7 linked regions of the Canis lupus familiaris genome follow. The protein of the gene in region 2 purifies or fractionates together with the protein of the main gene of each other region. This does not show direct contact. Links are inferred from orthologs where the notes say so. Each region holds a gene or a part of one and is shown on either strand. Other genes may lie near its edges. The genes, in order: HNRNPU, PRPF8, SF3A2, SART3, E2F-associated phosphoprotein, BCAS2 and SNRNP70.

Evidence for each region.
Region 1: the proteins of PRPF8 (region 2) and HNRNPU fractionate together in Homo sapiens (co-fractionation; 3 studies listed by BioGRID, with this or other methods). This does not show direct contact. The link is inferred for Canis lupus familiaris from reciprocal best matches to the Homo sapiens genes PRPF8 and HNRNPU.
Region 3: the proteins of PRPF8 (region 2) and SF3A2 purify together in Homo sapiens (affinity purification with mass spectrometry; 3 studies listed by BioGRID and IntAct, with this or other methods). This does not show direct contact. The link is inferred for Canis lupus familiaris from reciprocal best matches to the Homo sapiens genes PRPF8 and SF3A2.
Region 4: the proteins of PRPF8 (region 2) and SART3 purify together in Homo sapiens (affinity purification with mass spectrometry; 4 studies listed by BioGRID, with this or other methods). This does not show direct contact. The link is inferred for Canis lupus familiaris from reciprocal best matches to the Homo sapiens genes PRPF8 and SART3.
Region 5: the proteins of PRPF8 (region 2) and E2F-associated phosphoprotein purify together in Homo sapiens (affinity purification with mass spectrometry; 4 studies listed by BioGRID and IntAct, counting the BioPlex papers as one, with this or other methods). This does not show direct contact. The link is inferred for Canis lupus familiaris from reciprocal best matches to the Homo sapiens genes PRPF8 and EAPP.
Region 6: the proteins of PRPF8 (region 2) and BCAS2 purify together in Homo sapiens (affinity purification with mass spectrometry; 3 studies listed by BioGRID and IntAct, with this or other methods). This does not show direct contact. The link is inferred for Canis lupus familiaris from reciprocal best matches to the Homo sapiens genes PRPF8 and BCAS2.
Region 7: the proteins of PRPF8 (region 2) and SNRNP70 fractionate together in Homo sapiens (co-fractionation; 3 studies listed by BioGRID, with this or other methods). This does not show direct contact. The link is inferred for Canis lupus familiaris from reciprocal best matches to the Homo sapiens genes PRPF8 and SNRNP70.

Annotation. Positions count from the first base shown.
Region 1 is NC_049228.1:35,785,603-35,789,629, forward strand, and holds the start of HNRNPU (heterogeneous nuclear ribonucleoprotein U), read right to left. Parts: upstream 2,801-4,027; 5' UTR 2,562-2,800; coding exon 1,871-2,561; intron 976-1,870; coding exon 864-975; intron 780-863; coding exon 706-779; intron 1-705. UniProt on the Homo sapiens protein: DNA- and RNA-binding protein involved in several cellular processes such as nuclear chromatin organization, telomere-length regulation, transcription, mRNA alternative splicing and stability, Xist-mediated transcriptional silencing and mitotic cell progression.
Region 2 is NC_049230.1:45,746,488-45,749,421, reverse strand, and holds part of PRPF8 (pre-mRNA-processing-splicing factor 8), read left to right. Parts: coding exon 1-114; intron 115-197; coding exon 198-371; intron 372-639; coding exon 640-833; intron 834-1,566; coding exon 1,567-1,806; intron 1,807-1,903; coding exon 1,904-2,045; intron 2,046-2,555; exon of another isoform or gene 2,556-2,662; intron 2,663-2,934. UniProt on the Homo sapiens protein: Plays a role in pre-mRNA splicing as core component of precatalytic, catalytic and postcatalytic spliceosomal complexes, both of the predominant U2-type spliceosome and the minor U12-type spliceosome.
Region 3 is NC_049241.1:57,260,975-57,264,474, forward strand, and holds part of SF3A2 (splicing factor 3A subunit 2), read right to left. Parts: intron 3,361-3,500; coding exon 3,289-3,360; intron 2,250-3,288; coding exon 2,203-2,249; intron 1,776-2,202; coding exon 1,666-1,775; intron 695-1,665; coding exon 645-694; intron 564-644; coding exon 423-563; intron 121-422; coding exon 52-120; intron 1-51. UniProt on the Homo sapiens protein: Component of the 17S U2 SnRNP complex of the spliceosome, a large ribonucleoprotein complex that removes introns from transcribed pre-mRNAs.
Region 4 is NC_049247.1:18,673,732-18,677,231, reverse strand, and holds part of SART3 (squamous cell carcinoma antigen recognized by T-cells 3), read right to left. Parts: intron 2,890-3,500; coding exon 2,763-2,889; intron 1,413-2,762; coding exon 1,308-1,412; intron 1-1,307. UniProt on the Homo sapiens protein: U6 snRNP-binding protein that functions as a recycling factor of the splicing machinery. Promotes the initial reassembly of U4 and U6 snRNPs following their ejection from the spliceosome during its maturation.
Region 5 is NC_049229.1:13,544,231-13,547,730, forward strand, and holds part of E2F-associated phosphoprotein, read right to left. Parts: intron 2,644-3,500; coding exon 2,530-2,643; intron 1-2,529. UniProt on the Homo sapiens protein: May play an important role in the fine-tuning of both major E2F1 activities, the regulation of the cell-cycle and the induction of apoptosis. Promotes S-phase entry, and inhibits p14(ARP) expression.
Region 6 is NC_049238.1:52,811,323-52,814,822, reverse strand, and holds part of BCAS2 (pre-mRNA-splicing factor SPF27), read left to right. Parts: coding exon 1-13; intron 14-2,676; coding exon 2,677-2,838; intron 2,839-3,500. UniProt on the Homo sapiens protein: Required for pre-mRNA splicing as component of the activated spliceosome. Component of the PRP19-CDC5L complex that forms an integral part of the spliceosome and is required for activating pre-mRNA splicing.
Region 7 is NC_049222.1:108,017,718-108,020,850, reverse strand, and holds part of SNRNP70 (U1 small nuclear ribonucleoprotein 70 kDa), read left to right. Parts: intron 1-1,876; coding exon 1,877-1,978; intron 1,979-3,133. UniProt on the Homo sapiens protein: Component of the spliceosomal U1 snRNP, which is essential for recognition of the pre-mRNA 5' splice-site and the subsequent assembly of the spliceosome. SNRNP70 binds to the loop I region of U1-snRNA.

The sequences.
Region 1 (4,027 bases), on a different chromosome or scaffold from region 2:
GAGGTTTGCAATACTTCCTCATACTCAATTGCAACCCAACTGGGTAAAGTAGCAGTATTTACAGCGCTGCCATTGATACCATTCGCTGCTGAAGAAAGCTAGTAGCCCAGTGATAGCCCACTGCTGCTGCCCCAGGTCTTTGGAAGAAATCAACTTATGTTAAAGCAGCAGCTACTGAACTGGAATTGAGAACAAAAGAGCAGTTATTGAAAAAGTAATATTACAATCTTTTAGAATAGGGAATATACTTGTGTGCTAATGGGAAAAAATCATTAATACGTATTTAACTAGCCCAAATAGCTCACTTAATAAAATGCTACCAAAAAAATTAAATTACTTTATCGTAGGAGCCTAAAAGGACAAGTTACAGGTTGTCTTACAAGTTTCCATTAGCTAACTAAACCAAAAATTGCCATTAATTTTACATTCCTATAAATGAGAACTTTCTAATCATATAAAAAATAACACCAAATTGCTGGAGCCTATAAAATTATCAATACGACACAATTGATGCTGTATTAGACATTTAGCTACCAGAATCTGAATAAAACCTTTCGTCTCCCTCCTTTAAAAAAGGTAAACGGTTTACGCTAAGTATTCTGCATTTAAATTCAGCACACTGCGTTTAAGTTCTCTAACATTTTGGCACCAAAATCGCCACATTTAGTAACCGGGGGAGAAAAGGGAAGAAACAGCTTCACTTACAAGTATCAAGACAAACCACTGTGTCATCGAAGTGCTCATCTTCTTCTTCAACAGGTGGCTGAGGAGATTTGGCTCTGAAAGACAGAATTGTCTCCTGATTCAGCTTTTCCTACCCCAGAAAGAACGGGGACGGGTAAAACTAGATCGGCATCCTCTACCTGCTATACTTGTTCTCTTCAATGTACTCAAAATATCCACGGCCATGATCTTCTCGAGGTCTTTTCACCCCTCTCTTTTTATCTCCGCCCTTCTGCTCTGTTTTGCCGTCTCCTATAACACACAACACCCCTAACATAAGGGGCCAAGCCGCGACGCAACCGGGGAAAAAGAAAAAAAAATCCCCCCTCCTGTTTGGGGAACGCAAATACTCCTAACTCCCCCGTTCTTTTCTGCAAGCGATTTCAACCGACGAATCCAACGCGAATTCAAAGAACAATCAGCTTGGAACCGGCCAGGAGCTAGTGACGCAGTCTAAAGACATTCCTAATTTTGCCAGCCTCTTCGAAGATTCGAGAAAGCTCCCGGAGCCCAGGGCGGCCCCGGCCCCGAGCCCACGTGGATCCCGGAGAGAGTTCAGGAAGGGGGGAGGGGCCGCGCCGGCCCGCGCGCCCGCCCCTCCCCTCCTCCCCTCCCCCACCCGGGCCCGCGTTCCCCGCGGCCGCATTGTACTGATCTTCCGCCCCGCTCTCCCCGCCCGGCCCCTCCCGCCGGAAGTGACGTCACGCCGAGCCCCTGCGCTCCTTGCACAATACCGCGGCCCAGCGCCGCCAAAGCGCGCCCGCCCCGGGCCCTCGGGCCTCTCTTCTCCCCTCCCCCCCCCGAGACATGTGCCCGCACCGCGCGCACGCAGCGCAGCGGCGCCACCGCGGGCCGACCGGGCTCCCGCCCGCCGCCCGCGGCTCCTCCCCCTCCAGCGGCAGCTGCAGCTACCACCCCCACCCCCCGGCCCTCCAGCCACATAATGGAGGCGCCGCCGCCGTCGCACACGCCGAGCCCGAGGCCGCCGAGGCCTCGCGGCCGGGCGGGATTCCCCGCGCCCCCTCCCCCCCGCCTCCCCCGCGGCGGCCCCCGCCCCCTCCCCCCCGCGGGGCTCCGGCAGGCCTGGGGCACGGTCCCCACCCCGCGCGGGCCTCCCGCCGCGCGCAACGTACAACGCAGCACTCACCCGCCGCCGGAGCCCCGGGGCGACCGCCGCCTCCGCCGCCTTCCGCCTTCTTCTTACCTCCCGCCTGCTGCTGGCCCTGCCTCGCCCCGGGCGGCGCCACCGTCACCGCGAACAGCGAGGTGGGGCCGCTGCTCTTCCCCGCGGCCTCCTTGGCGGCCCCGCGCTGCTGTGGCGGCTGCTGTTGCGGCGTCGCCGGCGGTTGAGGCTGCTGCTCCCCGTGCCCGTTCTCGTCGCCCGCGCCTTCCTCCTCGTCGCCGAGCTCATCCTCCCCTTCCTGGAAGCCCTGATCGTCGCCGTTCTCGTCCTCCGAGGCGGCCTCCTCCTCCTCCATCGGGCCCGCGTCGGCCGCCCCCGCGGCCCCGTTCTCCTCTCCTAGCTCCATCTGGTCGCCATCCAGGGCGGCGATCCCTTCCTCCTCCTCTTCCTCCTCCTCCTCCTCCTCGTCGCCGCCGGCCGCGGCCTCCTGCTCGAGGCCTGCTCCCGAGCGCCCGGCGGAATCCCCGCCCAGGTCTAGGCTGCCGTTCCCGGGCTCCATGGCGGGGCGGCCCCCGGCCTCCTCGTCGTCCAGCGCGGCCTGGAGGCGCTCCATGAGCTCGGCCTTGAGGCCCTTGTCGGAAAGGCGCCGCTTCTTGAGCTCCTCTTTCAGCTCCGAGACCTTCAGCTTTTTTACATTAACAGGCGAGGAACTCATGGTGAGGGCCCCGATTCACCGCTAGGCGCTGGCTCAAACTCGGCTCCGCTCCCTCGGCCACTGGTGGCGGCTGCTGCGGCTGCTCCTCGGCCCGGGCGGCGGCTGCGGCTGCGGCTAGAGGTGGGTTCGTGCTGCAGAGCGGACCCGCCTGGTGTCGAACGGCGCCAATTCCTTTCACCGAGTTCGCGAGGGAGACGCGGAGACTCGCCTGGCGCGAGCGAGCACGCAACGTCCTCTCGCAGGGGCGGCGCCGCGCACGTAATATAGGCGCCCCGCCCCCTGCGCTGACGGGAGCTCCGCTGCGGGGGGGAGCGCGCCCGCGCCGCGGGGCCCCGCCCCCGCGCCCCGCCCCCGCCCCCGCCCGCCCGCCCGCCCTGCCCTCCCCGCCCCCACGCCCAACCCGCCGAGAGCGCGGCGCCGGCCGCGCAGTGCGCTTCCCGCGGGGCCGAGCTGGGGGAGGAGGGGGGCCGCCTTTCGGTTACAGCGATCCGCCGCAGCCGGGCGGCCTCCCGAGCTGGGTGCTGGCGGCCCTCGCCTCGCTCTCGGCCCCCGGGCGCGGGGCTGCTGCACCCAGAGCCCGGCGGCCCCGGCCCCGGCCCCGGCCCCGGCCCGGCGGCTTCCGCCCGAGCCCTCGGCCTTGCTTCCATCTTGGATGGGCCTGCCTCTTTCTCTCGCTCGCCAGCCCGCTGCTTAAAACGCCTCGAAATCTTATTTCCGTGTTGATGTGTACGGCACGGACGGGCAGGCCCTGCCCGCGGGGGGTGCCTTCCGTCTCGCATTTGGTGGAATGTTCCCAGGCCCTGCCCTGCGCCCTGGATTTTAGGCTCGGGAAGGGCGAGGACAGAGCATCCCTTTTGTCTCTTCCCCAGCCCGGATGGCAGGGCTGGTCCGGCCGCCCCGGGGCGGGAGAGCGGGGCGAGCCTCGGAGGGGCACGTCCGCCCGCCCAGACGGCCCCCCGCGAGCTCACGCCCCCGGATCGTGCCCTCCGCCGCCTCTCCCCCCCCCCCCCCCCGCAGGAACACCCCCCATAAGTCGTGCTGAAGCCAGTAAGAGCTCAGGACGAGTCAAAGGGCCGGGATTTTCTAAGAAAGAAAAAAGAGACAATCGGCTCCCGAAATCTGTTGTGTATTTGGGTGTGTTTTAGAAGTTTGATTTTTCCCTTTTCCCAAATAAAAGGCATGTTAGGTTCTTGAGGTTGCGCACAGGGGGCCAGCACTTAGATACGTGATAGAGGGGCGCATGCGACACCCCCAAGAAAGCCTGCACAGTGACTAGACAACGTCCCACTATCAGAGAGCTCAGTCCTACCCACTGTGTGGTGCTGGAGCTGGAGTAGTGCTGCCCCGAATGTTAACTTGAAACTGGAGCAATACTAGCAGAGGCCAGTATGATTTAACCGTTGAATGCATTTTATTTTTTCAAGTTTCTTCTCCATAGCTTCCAAGAACCATGTGTTTTACCACTC
Region 2 (2,934 bases):
CTGGCTAAGTGGAAGACAGCTGAGGAAGTGGCTGCCCTGATCCGATCTCTGCCTGTAGAGGAGCAGCCCAAGCAGATCATTGTTACTAGGAAGGGCATGCTGGACCCATTGGAGGTGAGAGGTGGATGAGGTAGAAGAAAGAAGGGCTGAGACCTGCAGGCTCTTTTTTAAATTTTGGACTTGATATCCTATTTCAGGTGCACTTGCTGGACTTCCCCAATATTGTGATCAAAGGATCAGAGCTCCAACTACCTTTCCAGGCTTGTCTCAAGGTGGAAAAGTTTGGAGACCTCATCCTTAAAGCCACTGAACCCCAGATGGTTCTCTTTAATCTCTATGATGACTGGCTCAAGACTATCTCATCTTACACGGTATGAAATCCCCTAACAAAGAGGGTCACTCTAAGAGAGGTGGTTTTGGGGCCACGAGACAATCCTGTGCCTTCCTTACCTTTTACTCAGGTTCCCTAATGAGGCCATTTTCACATCTTTAACCTGTGGATAACAATTCTATGCTCTGCATGTAAAGTTGACTGGGAGAGTGGTTGAAATCCATTCCTGGGTTCCCTGAAAGGAAATCAAGGAAGGACATCTAGTGGCTGACCTCCCCCCCCCCCCCCGCTGCCATACCTTTTCTCAGGCTTTCTCCCGTCTCATCCTGATTTTGCGTGCTCTTCATGTTAACAATGACCGAGCAAAGGTGATCCTGAAGCCAGACAAGACTACCATTACAGAACCACACCACATCTGGCCCACTCTGACTGACGAGGAGTGGATCAAGGTGGAGGTGCAGCTCAAAGATCTTATCTTGGCCGACTATGGCAAGAAAAACAAGTGAGCAGTGGTGGTGGGGAGACAGATGGAAAATCCTAAAAGGGTGAAATGAATCTTTTAGTATATGGTTTCTGGGGTTTTGGGAAACATGTGGGTTCAGAAATTTTTCAAGGTATTGTCCTAAAGATGCCTATAGAAAAGAGGTAGGCAGTGTCTTCAAATAATGCAGAAAATGTCTGTTTTAGGGCTTTAGTCTGATTCTAGGACATTTTCCCATGTTGCCATTTTGAGCAGGGCATTTCTTTACTGTCCATACATTACAGGAAGTTTTAATATCCCAGATCCCCAGGTACCACTGCTAATAGCACAGACACACCTCTTCTTCCCTTTCCCTGTCATTGTGGCAACCAAAAATAAAAGTGTCCATAGATTTCCAGATAACCCTAGGGTGACAGACAATATTAGCTGTAATTGAGAACGAGTTCTAAAGGTTTCTATTTTTAAGAATTGTCCTAGAAACCAGGGCACTTTTTATCAAAGAAAGGAGGAAGGTATGGCTACTGAGCAGGTTTGAGCATGGCTGAAAGCTGTACATGCACAGAGCCATCCTGGGCTGTGATAAATCTTAGCAGTATCAGTACATCTCCACCTCATACTTCTTTTACAAGTGCCACTTGAGATGTGTCTGGGGTAAGGGCATTGGGTCCCCTGTCCTACCAAGTTACATTCTGTCACTTGGACAAAATTGACCAAGGGGAGGGATCTTGTGGTATTATCCTTGCTTTCCCCACAGCGTCAATGTGGCATCACTGACACAGTCAGAAATTCGAGACATCATCTTGGGTATGGAGATCTCGGCACCATCACAGCAGCGGCAGCAGATAGCAGAGATTGAGAAGCAGACCAAGGAACAGTCACAGCTGACAGCAACGCAGACTCGCACTGTCAACAAGCATGGCGATGAGATCATTACTTCTACCACCAGCAACTATGAGACCCAGACTTTCTCGTCTAAGACTGAATGGAGGGTTAGGTACTCTAAGGAATGAGAGGGATAGGGATGGCAAAACCTATTGATGCTACCTGACATTGTAGGCCTCAGAAGTGCTGACATTCCCCACCGTTTTTAGGGCCATCTCTGCTGCCAACCTTCACCTAAGGACCAATCATATCTACGTGTCCTCTGATGACATCAAGGAGACCGGTTATACCTATATCCTTCCTAAGAATGTGCTTAAGAAGTTTATTTGCATATCTGACCTTCGGGCCCAAGTGAGTAAGTGTGTTTAATTAGGCCATAATGTGTGCCCAACATTTTATTTGCCTAAAGCTCACCTAAGATTGCCTAGAACTTGAGGTGCTGGTTTCAGGATTTATGCATGAATAAGTATATAAGAATAGCTGAAACAGCAAGAAGGATTTTGGCTCCCACCAAATATTAAAACGTTATAAAGCTGTGGCAATTAAGAAAATGGTGTATTGGCCCACAATTGATTGGAAGACGATAGCGTATAGTCAGAAACAGATTCATGTGGCTATGATAAATGTGTAACAGGTCTGTAGGATTAAGGATGTGTTAATGATACTGAAACAATCAGAACCCTACCTCACAACACTTAAAAAATAAAATGCACATAAAGATGTGCATGTAAAACAAAACACTAAGCTGTAGAGTATTAGAAGAAAATAGCTAATTACCTTAGTTTTGGGGTGGTCTTCTTAAGACACAAAACATTAAATTATAATCAATAACTTGTGTGAGACAAAGACATACTAAAAACAGTGCTCGCTTCGGCAGCACATATACTAAAATTGGAATGATCAGGAGAAGATTAGCATGGCCCCTGCGCAAGAATGACACGTAAACTTGTGAAGCGTTCCATATTAAAAAAAAAAAAAAAAAAGACATACCAAAAACAGGAAGAAAATATTTGCATAATTCTAAGATAAGATGGGTAGAACCTAGAATAGGGAATTTGCAGAAGTTCATTAAAAAAAAAAAAAAGATAGGGACACCTGGGTGGGTCAACGGTTGGGTGTCTGCCTTTGGCTCAAGGCATGATCCCAGATTCTGGGATGGAGTCCCACATCCGGCTCCTTGCATGGAGCCTACTTCTCCCTCTGCCTGGATCTCTGCCTCTCTTTCTCATGAATAAATAAA
Region 3 (3,500 bases), on a different chromosome or scaffold from region 2:
GCAGGGCAGCCACCGAAAGCCCCAGAACTGCCCGGACCCAGAATGACTTACCTGCTTGGTTTCCCGATTCCAGTGAGTCCAGAACTTGCCTTCGGCCTTATCGATCTCCCTGCTTGGCACCTGTGCAGGGAGTGGAGGCAGAGGGGCCTCAGGATTCGGCTCTGGGTACCTGACCTGGCCCACGTCGCCAGCCGGCCACCCCGGGGGAGGGTCGTGGTCTGTCTGGGCCCAGGACGAGGTCATGGGGTCCCTGACCAGCCTGGGAACGAGGGCTTCTTACGGCTAGGGGCACCTGGGACCTCAGGATGTCCCTCCCCAGCCTGCCAGAGCCAAGGACCCAGGTGGGGCACCCGTGAGTGGCTGGAGGGACACTCCAGCCTCGTTGCCTGCCCACGAGGATCGGTGGACCCCGCCTGCACTACCTTGAAGGCGATGGTCTCGTAGGGCTCAGCAGCCATCAGCAGGTACTGCCAGCGCCGGTCCGGAGGCTCGATCCTCTGCTCGTAGGCGGACATGAAGCGGTGGCGGGGCATGATGCCCTCGGCGATCTCAGGGTAGTCGATCTGTGGGGACACAGCAGGTGGCAACGCCGCCTTTCAAGGGACCCTCCCTCACTCAGGATGGGACTCCAGGTTTAACCTTACCTGGAAAAGGAGGCTCTGCTGGCCCATCTCCGTGTCCCTCTGCTTGGTCACTGCAACACACAAGGGTCTCAAGTCCCGACTAGCGTGTCCCCCCGAAGATAAAGGACCGTGGCTGCTGCCCACGAACGGGAGGGCAGGACACTAGAGGACACCAGCTGGCTGATACACCAGAGCTACCTGCAGTCCACGCCCAGGGCCAGGAGGGTCCCCGCGTGAGATCACACAGGGAGGGGTGTGGGCAGGAGAGTGGGCTCTGCGGCCCTCACCTGCAGGGCTGGGACAGCACGATGTGGGTGCAGTAAGGCTAGCGATGCCCGTACCCGGCTTCTGGGAGGCGGCCCTCTTCATCAGAGGCCAGTGGCCGTGCCCACACTTCCAGGCTGCTCTCCGTCCAGCTCCCAGGCACGCCACACCCTCCTTCAGCCCTCAAGCGTCCCCCTACTTTAATCAGGACAGACACCAGGTGCCCTATTATGGCCAAAAGGCCTCTAGTGGCCTCCCCACAAGGATCCTGGCATCCGAGCCCTAGCTTATGAAGCACAGCTGCACGGCTCCGTCCTGCCTGGAACGCCCGTCACCCTCGCGGCGTCCCTACCCTTGGTTAGGATACCTGCCTGGTAGTTTTTCCTTTCCTTTTAGCTCCCAGGAACACAGTCCCCTACATGCGGTTTCTTACACGGACCCCCTGCCCCACCCCACCCCGAGGTCAAAAGAAAGGGAATCGCTGACCCCCATGGCCACACACCCTCACTAGGACTGTAAAGAATCCCCAGCTCCCGAGACACTGGAATACGGCGCAGGGGAGCCACGGCACCCTGATGGGTTGTTTGGGAATGTTCACAGGAGAGGCGGGGCCGGGGCACTAGCGGGGTGCCCGTAGCGGTGCAGGTGAGGGAGGGCCCCTGCTGCGACGGCCAACGGACAGCAGTCCCGGTGGCTCACGGACAGGGTCGGGGGTCTGTGCCAAAGGCTCGTTCGCGTGCACCACCAGCAGCAGGCCAGACCACACTCCCAGAGTTACCTTTGTAGCCCGGGCGGCCAATCTTCACAAACTTCTTCACCTCCACCTTGACCTTTTCTGGTGCCGGCTGGGCGGGGGCCTCCTTGGCCTCCTTGGCAGCTCGCCGGGCCCTGCAGGCGGGACGGACACAAGCGCTGTGGCCCCTCCACACAGGCTGCCAAGGCCACAGGCCCAGGTGCTGGGAGCTAACCAGCCTCCACATTGACCTTGGGCTTTGTCTGGGAGGCGAGTGGCGTGGGGGTGCTGGCTGGGGGTCCCAGGGTTTGCCTGAAGTGGGGATGGGACAAGGTCGGGGCACCTGTCCCTTCTCATCACGTTTCCCACCGTCCTTTACTAGGGAGTCTCCGTGAGCCCTCATCTCTTTCCCACTGTGTCACGGAAGCCTCACACCCCAGCAAGACCGGTTAGCTTAACCACTCAGCCCCGAGGCACGGCTGGGCTGGGCTGCTTCTAGCGTGGCTCGCAAGGACAGACCCAAGTGCGCTTTGTGTACCTCGGAGACCAGACACGGCCCTGGAAGGAGGCGGGGGTACTCACAAGTTGGTCTGATGCTTCTTCCCTTGGGTATGCGCAAGGTAACTGCCCTGGAGCGGGAAAAGCACACACACAGCCCAAGTGAACGGGTGGGCAGAGAGGAGCCGGCCTGTGTTCACAGGGCCCAGCGCGAAGCGGACACCGGGTCACCGCGGAATCAACAAACTCTAGCAGGTCCACATGAAGTGCAATGAGACACATGCAGAGTGGGACAGAGTAGGTCTGCGAAGGTCCGCAATCACGGGGTGTGGGACACGGCAGGTCTCGCCGCCTGTCATGGGAGGGCGCCTACTGGACCTGGCTGGATGGTGCAGACTACTTGGCAACCGCTGGCAAACCCAACGGTGCACACACCCTGTGACCCTGCGCGTCCATGCTGACCGCAGCCTAGGGGACCTCTAGAGAGCAAGGTGAACCCCATGTGTTTTGGGACCACCAGGGGGACGCTGGGCCACGTTTGGGGATGTCTGTGGTCGTCAAGATGAGGGATGCTGCTCAGCACCCCCCAGAGAATGACCCGGCTCTGACGTCAGCAGTGCTGAGGGGGACAGACCCTGACACGCAAGACTGGCTGAGTCAGCACCACTTGTACACGCGCTGAAAGACCATCAGAACATTCCACAGTGTGCAGAAGACCAAACGGAATCTATTTGTCACTGAGTGGGTCAGGGCAGCCTGAGCGCTAGTTATACCATCGTGGGACAATGTACGGTCGTTCAAAGAAATGAGCTAGAGCCACACTAATGAGATCTCAAAAACTGAATCCAGAATGTCTGGGACGGGCCTGCCCCACAGCTGCAAGTCTAGTTCGTGCAGGAACGGCAGTGACGACGCTCAGGGGAAGCACGCCGGAGGGGCCCCTGGCGCACCACAGCGGCAGCGGGCTCTGGGGGCGCAGGCTGAGATGGGGGGCACTCAGGTGAGCGAGCAGATCCGGGCCTGTTGCCCTCGTTGTTGCCCTGAACAACGTCCCAGAATTAGCAGGGAGAGCACGACCAGGATGCGGACGGGCACAGAGTCCCGCCTGAGCGGGACAGGCGGCACCTGGACCTGGCGGCAGGAGAGCCCAGCCCGGAACTAGGGACGCACCTCGTTGTTGTGCAGGGTCAGGCACAGCTTGCACTCATATGAACCCAGGTGGTTCTTCATGAAGTAAGGGTCCTGGGGAGGGAAGCACACTCTGTTAGCACCCATCGCGCCCCGTGGTCCCCACCTGCTCCAGGAGGGGCGAAAGCCTTGTCTTTGTCCAAGAGGCACAGACCACCACTTGCTGGCAGAGAGGGGCAGCTGTCCCACTTTGG
Region 4 (3,500 bases), on a different chromosome or scaffold from region 2:
GGCAGTCTATCTTCCAAGTTCCAGGGATTCTCACAAGGTGAAATTCCCCCAGTGGGGAGTGGGGAGAACCAGATATGGAAGAAGGATGTTTAATTTAAAAGGAGAAAACATTGGCGGGGGGGGCGCCTGGGTGGCTCAGTTGGTTGGGCATCTGACTCTTGATTTCAGCTCAGGTCATGATCTCAGGATTGGGCTCCGTGCTCAGCATGGAGTTTACTTGTCCCTCTCCCTCTGCTCTTCCCCTCCCAACTCCCCCAGCTTGCATGCACACCCTCTCAAATAAATAAAACCTTTAAAAAATAAATAAATAAAAGGAGTGCTTTTTAAAAAATATTTTTAAAAAACATTTTGCCCACAGCATTCTCTGATGTGTCCTAAATGTACATACAGAGAATAAAGAACCGGGGACGCCTGGGTGGCTCAGCAGCTGAGCATCTGCCTTTGGCCCAGGGTGTGATCCCAGGATGCAGGATCGAGTCCCACATCAGGATCCTTGCAGGTAGCTTGCTTCTCCCTCAATGTCTCTGCCTCTCTCTCCTCTGTCACTCACAAATAAATAAAATCTTAAAAAAAAAAAAAGAGAGAGAGAGAGAGAGAATAGAGAATCATGCTACCAACAGGGGAGGGTAAAGAAACTTAAAGGGAGAGGGGTCTACCCTCCACCTGTGCTAGCAAAACATCAACTCAAGCAGACAACACAGACATCTGTGGGGATAGAGGGTTATGTATCTCAACTACAGTGGTGGTTACTAGAATCTCCATGTTTGATAAAATCTCAGAGGTAGATACACACATTGTACACTAAGATTAATTCCCTGGTTTTGATTTTGTGCAATAGTTACAAGATATTGGGAAAAGCAGGATGAAGTAAGTATAGAACCTTTCTGCACTATTTTCCCGTAAATCTGTAATTATTTTAAAATAAAAAGGTTTTAATAACTTTTTAATATCAAAAAAACAAACAAACAAACAAAAAACAAAAACAGTTTTCTGTCCAAAACTTCTAAAAACCCATTCAACATGTAAAAGGCAACCTTTAGTCATCTGGAAATACTATGTAAGTTCTCCCCGCCAGAAAGATACTAGGTGTGAATTTATTCACTCCTTTACTACAAAGGTTTCTTCTATGTATTTTAAAACCAAATATTCTCAAATGAAAACCACAGAAAAATAAGTAAACTCAAATCTTTTTAACTGCCAGACTAACCCCCTCCTTTCTGAATTGGGGGCACACCTCACAGTACAACCCAGGGCAGCAGAGATGGATGCATTCACAGACACTTAGAAAAAGTGAATGGGGAACTTACAAATGTAATCCTTCACAGCTTTCTCAAAGAGTTCGTACACGTGCTCTCTGTCCAGGCCGTCCAGAGCCATGCTGATCTCATCATGCAGCCACTCCAGCCAGAGCTCTGCAAGACAACAGCACCTCCTGCATCACCATCTCCTTCCCCGAAGGGCAGGATGAAAGCAGGGACTTTACTCTGAGTCACGAGCACACAAGCATTTTACCCACCATATACAACTTGCTACGGTTCACAGAAATTCAATTCTTAAAACCTGTACCAAGCACATAGAAGGTTTATGCTTCCAATAAGATCAAACAACTAAAATCATAATACCCTACACCTGTTGGGCATTTTATTATTTTTGTGAAATACTTACACATATATATTTCTCATTCAATCTTTGTTAAATTCCTGTAGATGATAGTCATAATAATGAATACTAATGGCATTTATCAAAGCATTTACGATATTCTAGAGTATTTGTTACATGTTGTACATAGGATATCTCATCCAATCCATGTACTATAAGGCAGAAGATATTGTTAGCCCATTTTACTGCTGGGAAAACTGAGTCTTACAATGTTTACATAATTTGCTTAAGGTCATACAGCTAGTAAAATAATAAAACCAGGAATGAATCTGGGCAATCTGATTTCATACTCAGCAGTTATGCTTTTGGGCAGAGAGAGGGGGACAGAGCTGGATCTGGGACCAGCATTCTCCAAAGCCTCCCTAAAAGATCAATTATAATAAACATTCCTGAACACTCTTCTACAAGATGCATGGTGTAATTATGTTTCAAATAAGCAAGTAAGTATAAATAACCTAAATGCCCAAATACTGTGTAACAAACAAGGTATAAAACATTTGCATTAAAAATTGTTTATAAAACCTTAACTAGGGGTGCCTGTGTGACTTAGCTAACCATCTGCCTTCATCTCTGGTCATGATCCCAGGGTCCTGGGATCGAGCCCCATGTCAGGCTCCCTGCTCAGTGGGCAGCCTGCCTCTCCTTCTCCCTCTGCCTGCTGCTCCCCTTGCTTGTTCTCTCTCTCTCTCTCTCTCTCTCTCTCTGAAGATCTTAAAAAAAAAAAAAGGAAAACAACAGTTTAATTATAATACAATTATGTGGTGCTGAGAGAATGGATTAAATATATAAACACTGGAATGGAAAATAGACACGGGAAAAGTTTAATCACATAAAAAGTTTTCATCATGACATAGGATTAAAAAAAACAACAACAGAATCCAAAATATGAATCAAGATTATATGATCACAACTAAGTTTTGCAAAAAAAACTAGAGGATGAAAAACTAGAAATCATGGACAATGGATGATGGGTTTTCTTCTTTGCATTCTATTTATATGTTCCAGATTTCTGTAAGTAACACGTCCCAGTTTCAGCTCTGAAAACAGAATATATACTCTTCAGTTCTCTGTTTATTAAAGCAGCCTCGCTGCTGATATGTTACCTTCAGTCAAAGGAAAGATCTCACTCATCTTCTGGCGAGCCATCCTCACTTTGGTAAGCTCCCCTTCCAGGCGGAGCAGCCGGATCAAATCCACATGGCAGTTGTAGTCATAGACGTTAATAGATAGCTAAAAGGAAAAGAACACCAGGTGAAATTTAAAATGCCACCATCAAAATAACCTAGCACCTTTTAACCACCGGGAACAATGCACATGTCTGCAACAAACAAATGTGCTATCTGGGAGAGCCACTGAGACAGTGATACAACATTTACCTCCAGGAAGAGAAAGAAAATCTCTTTTTCTCTAATAAATGCATATCTCTTCCAATCTGTTCTAGCTGGAGGAGAACGTAGTTAGGTTTCTTTGAAATACAGGAAACATCCCGATGAAACAAACACACACACAGTGTGACCTTAGGTTATTAACTTTGCCAAGCCTCTATTTCCTCATCTGTAAAATGGGAATACCACTAGGGTCTAGTCCATAAGGTTCTTGTGAGGGTTTCAAAAGGTGATTAATAACATGCTTTAGCACCTGCCAGCTCTATAAGAGCTTTCTTCTTTTACTAAACAAACACACACAAAAGTGAAAATCCCTACTGGGAGAAACAAGAATGGCAGTACCTGTTGAAGCTGAGTGATAGGTATACAGATTTATAGATTTGAAACTTTTCAAACTAAAAGTTAAAACAAGTTAAAATAACTGTTTAAAAAGCTATCAGACGTCTGAAACAACAG
Region 5 (3,500 bases), on a different chromosome or scaffold from region 2:
TCAGGGCATGATCCCGGTGTGGGGATCGAGCCCCACACTGGGCTCCCTGTGAGGAACCTGATTCTCCCTCTGTCTATGTCTCTGCTTCTCTCTGTGTCTCTCAAGAATAAATAAATAAAATCTTTTAAAAAATAAATAGTCAATTAGTCCATAGTGAGACACCTGGATGGCTCAGCAGTTGAGTGTCTGCCTTCGGCTAAGGGCTCACAAGTGATCCCAGGGTCCTGGGATCGAGTCCTGCAACAGGCTCCCTACAGGGAACCTGCTTCTCCCTCTATGTCTCTGCCTCTCTCTCCCATGAATAAATAAAATCTTAAAAAAGAAAAAAAGTCCATACTATCCAAAGTCATCTATTGTCAATGCAATTTTATCAAAATTCCAATGGCATTTTTCACAGAAATAGAAAAAAAACCAACAAGCTAAAAAGCTTCAGCATAGCAAAGAAACCATCAACAAAAGGAAATAGAAACCTACGGAATGGAAGAAAATATTTGCAAATCATGTATTTAACAAGGGGCTAATATCCAAGAAACTCATACAACTCAATAGCAAAGAAAAAAAAAAGGCAAAGGCAAAGAACCTGAACAGACATTTTTCCAAAAAAGATATGCAAATGGCCAGCAGGTACATGAAAAGGTGTTCATCATCCTTAATCATCAGGGAAACGTAAATAAAAACTGTAGTGAGGTATTACCTCACACCTGTTAGAATGGCTACCAAAAAGACAAAACAAAAGTGAACACTTGCACATTACTGGTGGGAATGTAAATTGGTATAGTGACTATGGAAAACAGTATGGAGGCGCCTCAAAATATTAAAAATAGAACTACCATATGATTCAGCAATCCCACTTCTGGGTATATAACTGAAGGAAATGAAATCACTCTCTCGAAGAAATATCTGCACCACGACATCAGCCAGGTGATCAAGGTCAACATTAACAGTTAATAAATCTGTTTTTTTTTTTTTTTTTTTTTTTAATTTTTATTTATTTATGATAGTCACAGAGAGAGAGAGAGAGAGGCAGAGACACAGGCAGAGGGAGAAGCAGGCTCCATGCACTGGGAGCCTGATGTGGGATTCGATCCTGGGTCTCCAGGATCGCGCCCTGGGCCAAAGGCAGGCGCCAAACCGCTGCGCCACCCAGGGATCCCTTTTTTTTTTTTTTTTTTTTTTTTTTTTTTTAATTTTTTAAATCTGTTGATTTTTGTTGTTGTTGATAGTCCATGCCCTTGATACAATGTAATGAAAACAACACTTTACCTCTGTGGTCTTCTCCCCAAAAACCTACTGCAGCTTTATTCATAATAGCCAAACATGGAAACTAAGTGTACATGCTACGTGAATGGATAAAGAAAACATGGTGTATAGATACAATGGAATACAAAAAAAAAGAAAGAAAATCCTGTCATTTGTGAAAACATGAATGAACCTCGAGGGCACTAAGCTAAATGAAGTCATAGACAAAAAATTACTGAATGATCTCACTTGTATATAAATCCAAAAAAAAAAATGAACAGTAAGAAACAAAGTAGACTGGTGGTTAGTGGGGGAAGGGTGGACAAGTGAAGACTGTCAAGTGGTACAAACTTCCAATTATAAGATGAAGGTCTGAGGATGTAATAAACACAATGTCTACAGTTAACAATCTTGTACTATATACTTGAAGTTGCTAAAAAAAACTAATTTTAAGAGTTCTCAACAAACAAAAAAAGGAAAATACATGAGGTGATGGATGCATTAACCTTATGTAATCATTTAGCAATATATTTGTATATCAAATCATCATGTTGTACACTTCAAACTTACATAATGTTATGTGTCAATTATATCTCGATAAAGCTAGGAAATGATTTTAAATTTTTAAATGGTCTAGTTGACAATAAATTTAATACCCAAATGATGTACTCTTTAATAAAAAGTTTTCAATGGTTAAAACAGTAAATTTTATGTTTTATCACAATTTTTTAAAAAAGAATGTATTTGACAGATTACATCATTCCACAATATATATGCAGTTTCACTGAATCCTTTTAAGTATGTGCTTTATTAGAAAAACTACTTATGAGATGCCTGGGTGGCTCAGTAGTTGAGCGTCTGCCTTCGGCTCAGGTCCTGATCCCGGAGTTCCAGGATCTGGTCCCACATCGGGCTCTCTGCATGGAGCCTGCTTCTCCCTCTGCCTGTGTCTCTGCCTCTCTGTGACTCTCATGAGCAAATAAATAAAATCTTTAAAAAAAAAAAAAAAAAAAAAATGAAAAGAAAAAGAAAAAGGAAAAACTACTTAGAACTATGTATAACTAAAAAAAAAAAAAAAAAAGAACTATGTATAACTAAAATTATTTGTATAAAGATTAGTTATGTAGCAGCAAGGACACAGGAGGACAGAACTTTATCAGAATTCCTAAGTATATACCTCAAAAGTCTATTTCTGATTTAAACAAAAAACCAAGTTGTTTTTCATCATTTTGTGTATGCATGTGTGTGTATGTGTGTTTGTGGTGTGCTATGACACCCTTTATCCATTACCTTTGGCAATCAAGACATAGTGTGGTCATGCAGGCAGGGCAATTCAAGACAGCATCACTATTTGGAACAGGCTGCTGTTGTTGATATGGTCTCTGTATTCCAAAACCATGGTAGCTGGAATAAAAAAAGAAAATGTGGGGGGGGGGGGGGGGGGGGTAGACACACACTTTAAAGCCAGATCTTGATTTTCTTTTTTTAAGTAGGCTTCACACCTAAAATGGGGCTTGAACTCAAGACCCCAAGATTAAGAGTCACATGCTCTGGGGCACCTGAGTGGCTCAGTCAGGTAAGCATTGAACTCTTGATTCTAGCTCAGGTCATGATCTCAGTGTTGTGAGATCAAGCCCCAAGTCAGGCTCCACTCGGCATGGAACCTGCTTAAGATTCTCTCTCCCCCTCTACCCCTCCCCACCCTCTCAGAGGGAGGGAAGGAGGGAGGGAGGCTCTACCAACTGAGCTAGCCAAGCATCCCCGAGACCCTGATTTCTAATGCCACCCTCCAGTAAAAGAACCTAGTACTCCTAAGAGAAATGACTGATTCTAGGAATGAGGCATATGAAATGAACCTGGAGCATCTTGTAGTGCCAGGAAGTAAGGAAGTGCTCAAAAACAAGGAGGTAGATATATCAAGGGGCACAGAAGCCAACTCAAAGAATTAGAGTTGGCCAAAGCTGAAACAATTAGAACAATAAAATAAAGCAGTATTGGATACAAAATATAAATAAATACTCACAAGTCCATACTGATACAAATGACTAATGACTGAATAAATGAATGAGGGAAGAACGGAGGGAGGGAGAACAGACAAATGTCCCAGATGGAAGAATAACTTATGAAGATACTCTCCTCTCAAGGAAGTGGAGCATAATGCACATAATGACTTCCTTCCAAAGAGTACAGTATAGACAGGAGGGGCGGAGAGTAACTTTACAGTAGAGAAACCTGACAATTCCTTGCTAAGATGATCAAGG
Region 6 (3,500 bases), on a different chromosome or scaffold from region 2:
TCAGTATGAAACGGTAAGTTGTATTTCTGGTTTCCGCTGGACCCAAATCATTGCTTAATTTTAAGTTACTAGTAAAACTGCCACAGCTATTGCTCTTAAAATGTTGAAAAGAAAAAAATCTTGTCTGGCTTTATGTTTATGTTTCTTCATGTAATAGTGGTTCCTATAATCCTTTGTTAATGTTCAAATGTATTCTTTGCACCATCATTTAAAAAGGCAAAATAGGGGTGCCTGGATGGCTCAGTTGGTTAAGCATCCCACTCTTGATTTTGGCTCAGGTCATGATCTTGGGGCTGTGAGGTCAGTTCCCTGTGTAGGACTCCACACTGGGTGTGGAGCCTACTTAAGATTCTCCCTCTGCCCCTCTACCTCCACTCACATGAACCCATGCACGTGGGTGTACTCTCTTTCTTTAAAAAAAAAAACGCAAAATGTAAAATCCAACAACAGAGGAATGGTAAATTGTGTTGAAGTGCATGTTCTTAAGAATTTTCAAGGAGGAGTGCCTGGGTAGCACAGTTGGTGAGCATCCAAATCTTGGTTTCGGCTCAGGTCATGAGATCAAGTCCCGCAAAGGACTCCACACACAGCATGGAGTCGACTTGGGATTCTCTCTCCCTCTACCCCTCCACCCCTCCACCTGTGCTTGCTTGCTCCCTTTCTCTAAAATAAATATTAAAAAAAAAAAAAAAAAGACATTTTTAAGGAAATGTTCCTGATTAGATGTCTAGTTCTTCACTGATCACATCTCTGGATGAAACCACGTTATGGTTTATAATGATCCTTGCTTCACTCTTGCCAAAGCAACATTAGTGAACACGGAGTGCTCACGTAGTCTGACATTGGTTCCACTGTCTTCCGTCCTGTGCCACTTTACTACAAAACTGCTCTCTGAGGAACAAATATCCAAATATCCTTTATTTTCTCTAAAATGGAGAATTGGATTGCTTTATGACTGAGATCCTTTCAATTTTAAGATAACTATGGAATTATGAGAAGCACTAAGTAATCTGTCAGAGCAGAGTCCTTTGAGAGAGGGCCACATGCACAGCAGGTCTGTCCTCTCAGCAAATGAGTAGGTTAGAAGAGGGATTTGAGTTTGTAGAACCAGAGTACCATATTGCTTCTCTTGGGCTCCATTTCCTGTCTCGCCTAAGTGGTAAAGGCAGGAGAAGATCCAGGATTCCTTAGTTCTTCCATTTCTGGGCGCTTCTGCTCTATAGATAATCATGACAGTACCTCCTTTATGGCACTGTGTCTCAAAGCAGAAGTAATGAGTCACTAAGCAATGGATTATGAAGGAAACTTAGCAGGTTGTCACAGTACTTTTCTAAGGAAATAGAATAGAAAATACCAGAATATACTGCATGTAAAGGTGAGTACTGTTTTGTGAAACTTCTGTTGAAGTATATGTATTTTGTGTACTGGATCACAAATATTTCTTAGTGTGGGTTATAATCAGAAGTTTGAAAACTGCCACATTTATTGCATATGTGTAAAGTTTTTTGTTTTTTTAACAAAATGGTTTGTCACTTCTATTTTTTGAGAGAAAGAAGGGGCAAGAGAATTTAAGTAGGCTCCACGCTCAGTATGGAAGCTGATACAGGGTGTCAAGGAATTGATCTCACAACACTGACTTGAGCACAAATCAAGAGTTAGAATGCTTAACCCACTGAGCCACCCAAGTTACCCTGGTTTATCGCTTTTTTTTTTTTAAGATTTTATTTTCTTATTTGACAGGGTGAGAGAGCACAAGCAGTAGGAGAGGGAGAAGCAGGCTCCCAGCTGAGCAGGGACCCCAGTGTGGGGCTCTACCCCAGGACCCTGGGATTAGGACCCTTATGACCTGAGCTGTATGCAGACACTCAACCAACTGAGCCACCAGGCACCCCAGTTTATCACTTCTTGATCCCAGTTGCATACCCCTCAGTTTTTCATAGGAATAACTTGGAGTTTTTAGAATTATCTAGTCAAAATATTAAAATGGAAATTAAAACTAAGTTTGTAGTAACTCATCAGTAATGAGCTGAGATTTATGAAGAGTGTACTTACTGGCTGTTGAAGGACTGTGTAGTGTGAAGAGAGAGAGTAGAATGAAGTCCAAATGCAAAGAATTACTATATTCCTTACCGTTGTTTTGTCTAGAGTGGCCTGGGTGTATGGATGGGAAGCTGGCTGAATATAGGTGTGTTTTACAAAAATGATAGCATAGGTTTTTTTGTATCCTATAATATACTCCAGTTGATTGTGTTCACATTGAAATAAACAGTTTTTTGGTACTGTGTAGAATGACGTTAAATCTTACCTGTAGGGCAGCCCTGGTGGTGCACCGGTTTGGTGCCGCCTGCAGCCGGGGGTGTGATCCTGGAGACCCGGGATCGAGTCCCACATCAGGCTTCTTGCATGGAGCCTGCTTCTCCCTCTGCCTGTGTCTCTGCGCCTCTCTCTCTCTCTCTCTGTGTCTCTAATGAATAAATAAATAGAATCTTTAAAAAAAAAAATCTTACCTGTAATGAGTTGTTTCTTAGGAGGATAAATAGGTTCTTATTATTGCACAATCTGATCTTTAATCTTCCATGGATTTTACATTGTGCATAGACCTGTGAGACCTTCTGTTGGAAGGAAGGAAAGATTTAGGGGAATATATGGTTTCATTTTATTTTTGTTTAATTTCAGATATGAACTTCCAGCCCCTTCCTCGGGTCAGAAAAATGACATTACTGCATGGCAAGAATGTGTAAACAATTCTATGGCCCAGTTAGAGCATCAGGCAGTTCGAATTGAGAATCTGGAACTAATGTCACAGCATGGATGCAATGCCTGGAAAGTATATAATGAGTAAGAAGCTTTGGTCTTTTTTTAAATACAGGAATGGGGCTTGGGTGGCTCAGTCAGTTGAGTGTCTGACTGTTGGTTTCAGCTCAGGTCATGATCTCAGAGTCATGGGATCAAACTCCATGTCAGGCTCCATGCTCAGCAGAGTGTCTGCTTGAAGATTCTCTCTCTCTTTCCCTCTGCTCCTCCCCCTGCTCACTCTCTCCCAAATTAATAAATCTTTTTTTAAAAAACGGGAAGTGGAATAAAAATAGTATAGTGAACTTTAATGTGGGATCATGTCCTAGAACTATTAAAACCCATATGAAAAGCCATTGCTTTGAGACCCACTGCCAAGAGTATGGAGGGGACTTAAACCTAACTATATTTATTGTATGACATTGTAATTAAATGAGTTCTGAGGTCTGAGTGACAAATTACTACATGGTGTAATGTAATCCTTAACGTGGGGGATTGCTCATACATTCGATTCTCATTAATTACATGTTATGGCCACTTTATAGTGGCCTTGAATACTGAATTAGCCAATACTGTACCATTTTTCCTGGGAGAAATAATATATGTGCGTGTATATATATACATCTCATATAGACTTCAGCCTTAAATCCTAAAAACAACTCATTCGGGCAGATTCTGTTTTCTTTCATAAAAAATAAAGCAAAGTT
Region 7 (3,133 bases), on a different chromosome or scaffold from region 2:
AGCCTAGAAGTACACATGTCACATGATTTCTTTGTTGGTACTCCTGGGTTGGGCCTCTTCTGGGGTTTGGGACATTGAACCAGAGCAGGGTTCCTTTGCTTGACTGTGCTCCCGGTCCTTAAATCCCTTTCCCGTAATACCCTCCTCTGGGTTTGGGGGGGCCAAGTGGCCCCTCCTCCAGATCACGGGCAGCACTCCATCTCCTGGACCCCCCACCCCCAGGCTGTCCCTTATGTGCCAGCCTTTGAGTGGCAGGTGGTGGGAGGGAGTGTGGAATCCAAAGTGGAGAAGTCCTTCCATGTGCTGCGAGGAGGGTGGGGCGTGTGCCTAGTTCAGTGTGGACTTTACTGGGAAAGGTGAGGGCCAACAGTTTTGCTAAGGCCTCCCCAGCCTTCTTTTTAAATACAACAAGCTAGTTCCAGGGCATTACCAGCTCCTAGACTTGATGTTAATCCTTGTCTCCCCCTCTTTCAAGGCCTCCATGAGGTTTCTTTGGGGTCCACCACTGCCTCTGCCTGTCTCTAGGTGGTGCAGGAGATGTGGTTCCTCTCCCTCTCTGTGGCTCCCTAGAACCCCCCCATTTCCCTTCCCTGTAGCTTTAGCTGACCCTATGGTGGTGGGTGTGGGGTCTGTGCGCGTGCTCAGGTAAGCTTGGGGGCTCCAGGTAAGCGGTCCCGTGTCCCCCCCCGGGAAGCCCGCCTCCTCGCCAGGCCCCCAGGAGTTGCCGAGCCCCCCCCATCCCGCTCGGTTTGGACACCCGCAAGGCCGGCATCGGTAAATGGCACCTTTTTCTCTTCCTCTGGTTGTTATTTGGGGGGGAGAGGGCTGGGGCGGGGCAGGGTATTGTGGTTGGTTGAGGACAACCCCCTAGGCCAGGGCTGGGGGTGGGAAACGGACTTTTTTTGCCCTCCTGATGCCCCATGGGAGACAGGCCTGGGATTGGGCCTGCCCATCGCTGTGCCCTGCCCAAGAGCAGGAATATGCCTCTTCCTGAATCTCTCCCTCTACTCCTCACCCTTCCCAAGAGGCTCCGGCTGGGGTTGGCCTCCCAGCCCAGCTTGTGTTGAGCTGGGGGTGTGGAGGGAGAGATGGAATGGGGGCTGGGATTGGGTGGCAGTCAGTCGGCTCAGGTAAGGCAGGAATTGTCAGTAGCACCGCACGCCTCCCATACCTTCCTCCACTTTCCCTCTGCCCTAGCTGCTGTAGGGGGGCCCCTCCAGGCCCCCTGGGAGCACCATAACCCACCCTTCTGCTCCCTGTCATCTCCTAAAGATTTCTCCCACCCTTTTCTGGTTCATTTTCTGTTCTGATGTCTGTTCTCCCCACGCTCACCTCCGCCCCCCCCCCCCAAAAAAAAAAAAAAGCAAAAAGGAAAACCGGTGTGAACTGGGGTGCAGAGCGGCCCAGCTGGGCCTCCTCCCCCAGCATGATGTTTTAGGGTGCATGCCTGGGGTTGTGGAGGAGCCCTCCCCCACAGCAGAGTCCAGCCTTAAGTTAACCTCCAGTTTCTTTGCAGCATCTTTGGCCGCCTGGGCAGGAGGGGGCTGCTCCGTCGAATGGGAGTAGGGAAGGGCCTGGGAGCCCAGGAGAGGGTGGTTGGGTCGTCTTGCTCCCCACAACCGTCATTGGGGGATAATACACAGGTGCCGAGATGGAGCAGGCCCCTCCTGGTTTGGGAGAGGGTTGGTCTGGCTGTCAGTTTTGACTGGCTGGCTGGTGTGCGTGTGTGTGTGTGTATGCGCGCGTGCACGCACGTGTGTGTGCACAGTGTGTTGATGGGGACGTGAGGGTGGGGATGCTGCAGAGCTGGGCACTGTCCTGACTAGAGGACCCTCTGGGGACTCCTCCCCCTTCCCCCTCCCCGCATCTGTTGCAGCCGCTTACAAGCACGCAGACGGCAAGAAGATTGATGGCCGGAGAGTCCTTGTGGACGTGGAGAGGGGCCGAACTGTGAAGGGCTGGCGGCCCCGGCGGCTAGGTGAGCACTTCCTGCCCTGGCTGAGCCTTGGTGGGCCTGTACTCTCTTATGCATCCTCTGCTGCTTGCTGTCTTCCCTTCTCCTTTTTGCTTTCCTGGCCGCTCATCACGTCCTCCCTTGCTTCCTCCAGCTCCTCTTCTCTTGTCACCATCATTATCGTTCCTGGTGGCTGACTTCTCATTCTGGTTTACTGATTAGGAGTGGGAGCACTGTCTGGAGAGGCGAGTGTGGGATCAAATGTCAGCTTGTGTACTTACTAGTTGGTGGATTTCCCTGCTTCATTTTCCTTATTGTAGAAATTGGGGCTAACCTCAAGAGTTCACGGAGCTCAGCATACCAGATGCCTAGATGCCTAGCTTGGCATGTGGCATGTGACGGGGCTTGTAAATATCACTCTCTCATCTACTTATTCTTGATTCTTGCTCATTTGTTTATTCTTTGATTACCAGCTATGTACCACATTTTTAGTCAGGAGCAAGACAGATGGCCTGTGTCTCTCTCTGATTGTTACTGTGTTAAAATCAGTTTGGTTGTAAGTATTGGAAATACATTTGAGGTTTTTAAAACATAAAGGGAGCCTTATTGATAGAGAATCCTGGAGGTCCTTTGGAGGCCAGAGATGTGTGATGCCAGTGGGCCTCGAGGACCTGGTAGCTAGATTTTAAGCTTGTCAGGAGCCACCTTTGCCATTGCAGCAGCTTGCTTCCACCTTGTCTGCTGTCTGTGCAGACTGGTCTCTTCTGTGTTTCCCTGCACTGGCCCCATGAGTGCTACACCTAGTCTTGGTGAGTCTATACTTCCGGGGGGTTGGATCTGAGTGGCTCTTCATTGGGCCTGGACCTGGGGCTGCTGTCCTGCCATCTAAACATGCATGTTAAGGACCTACTCCTGCAGGGGTGAGTGACAGTTCTCTAAGAAAGATGGTCACCCTGGACTTGCCTGTGCAGCGTAGACCACACACTCACCTGCCGAGTCTTGGAACAGTAATAGGTTCTTATCGCCTTCATTTCTTGAGGGTGGAGTGAGTTTTTCATAGTCTGCTATTTTCTGTTGTAGAATCCTGGAATCGCAGAATCTTGTAGTTCATTTGGCATTCAGACTTTGGCATAGCAGTACTTACTACATCCTGACCCAGTATATATCTGTGGAAAAGTA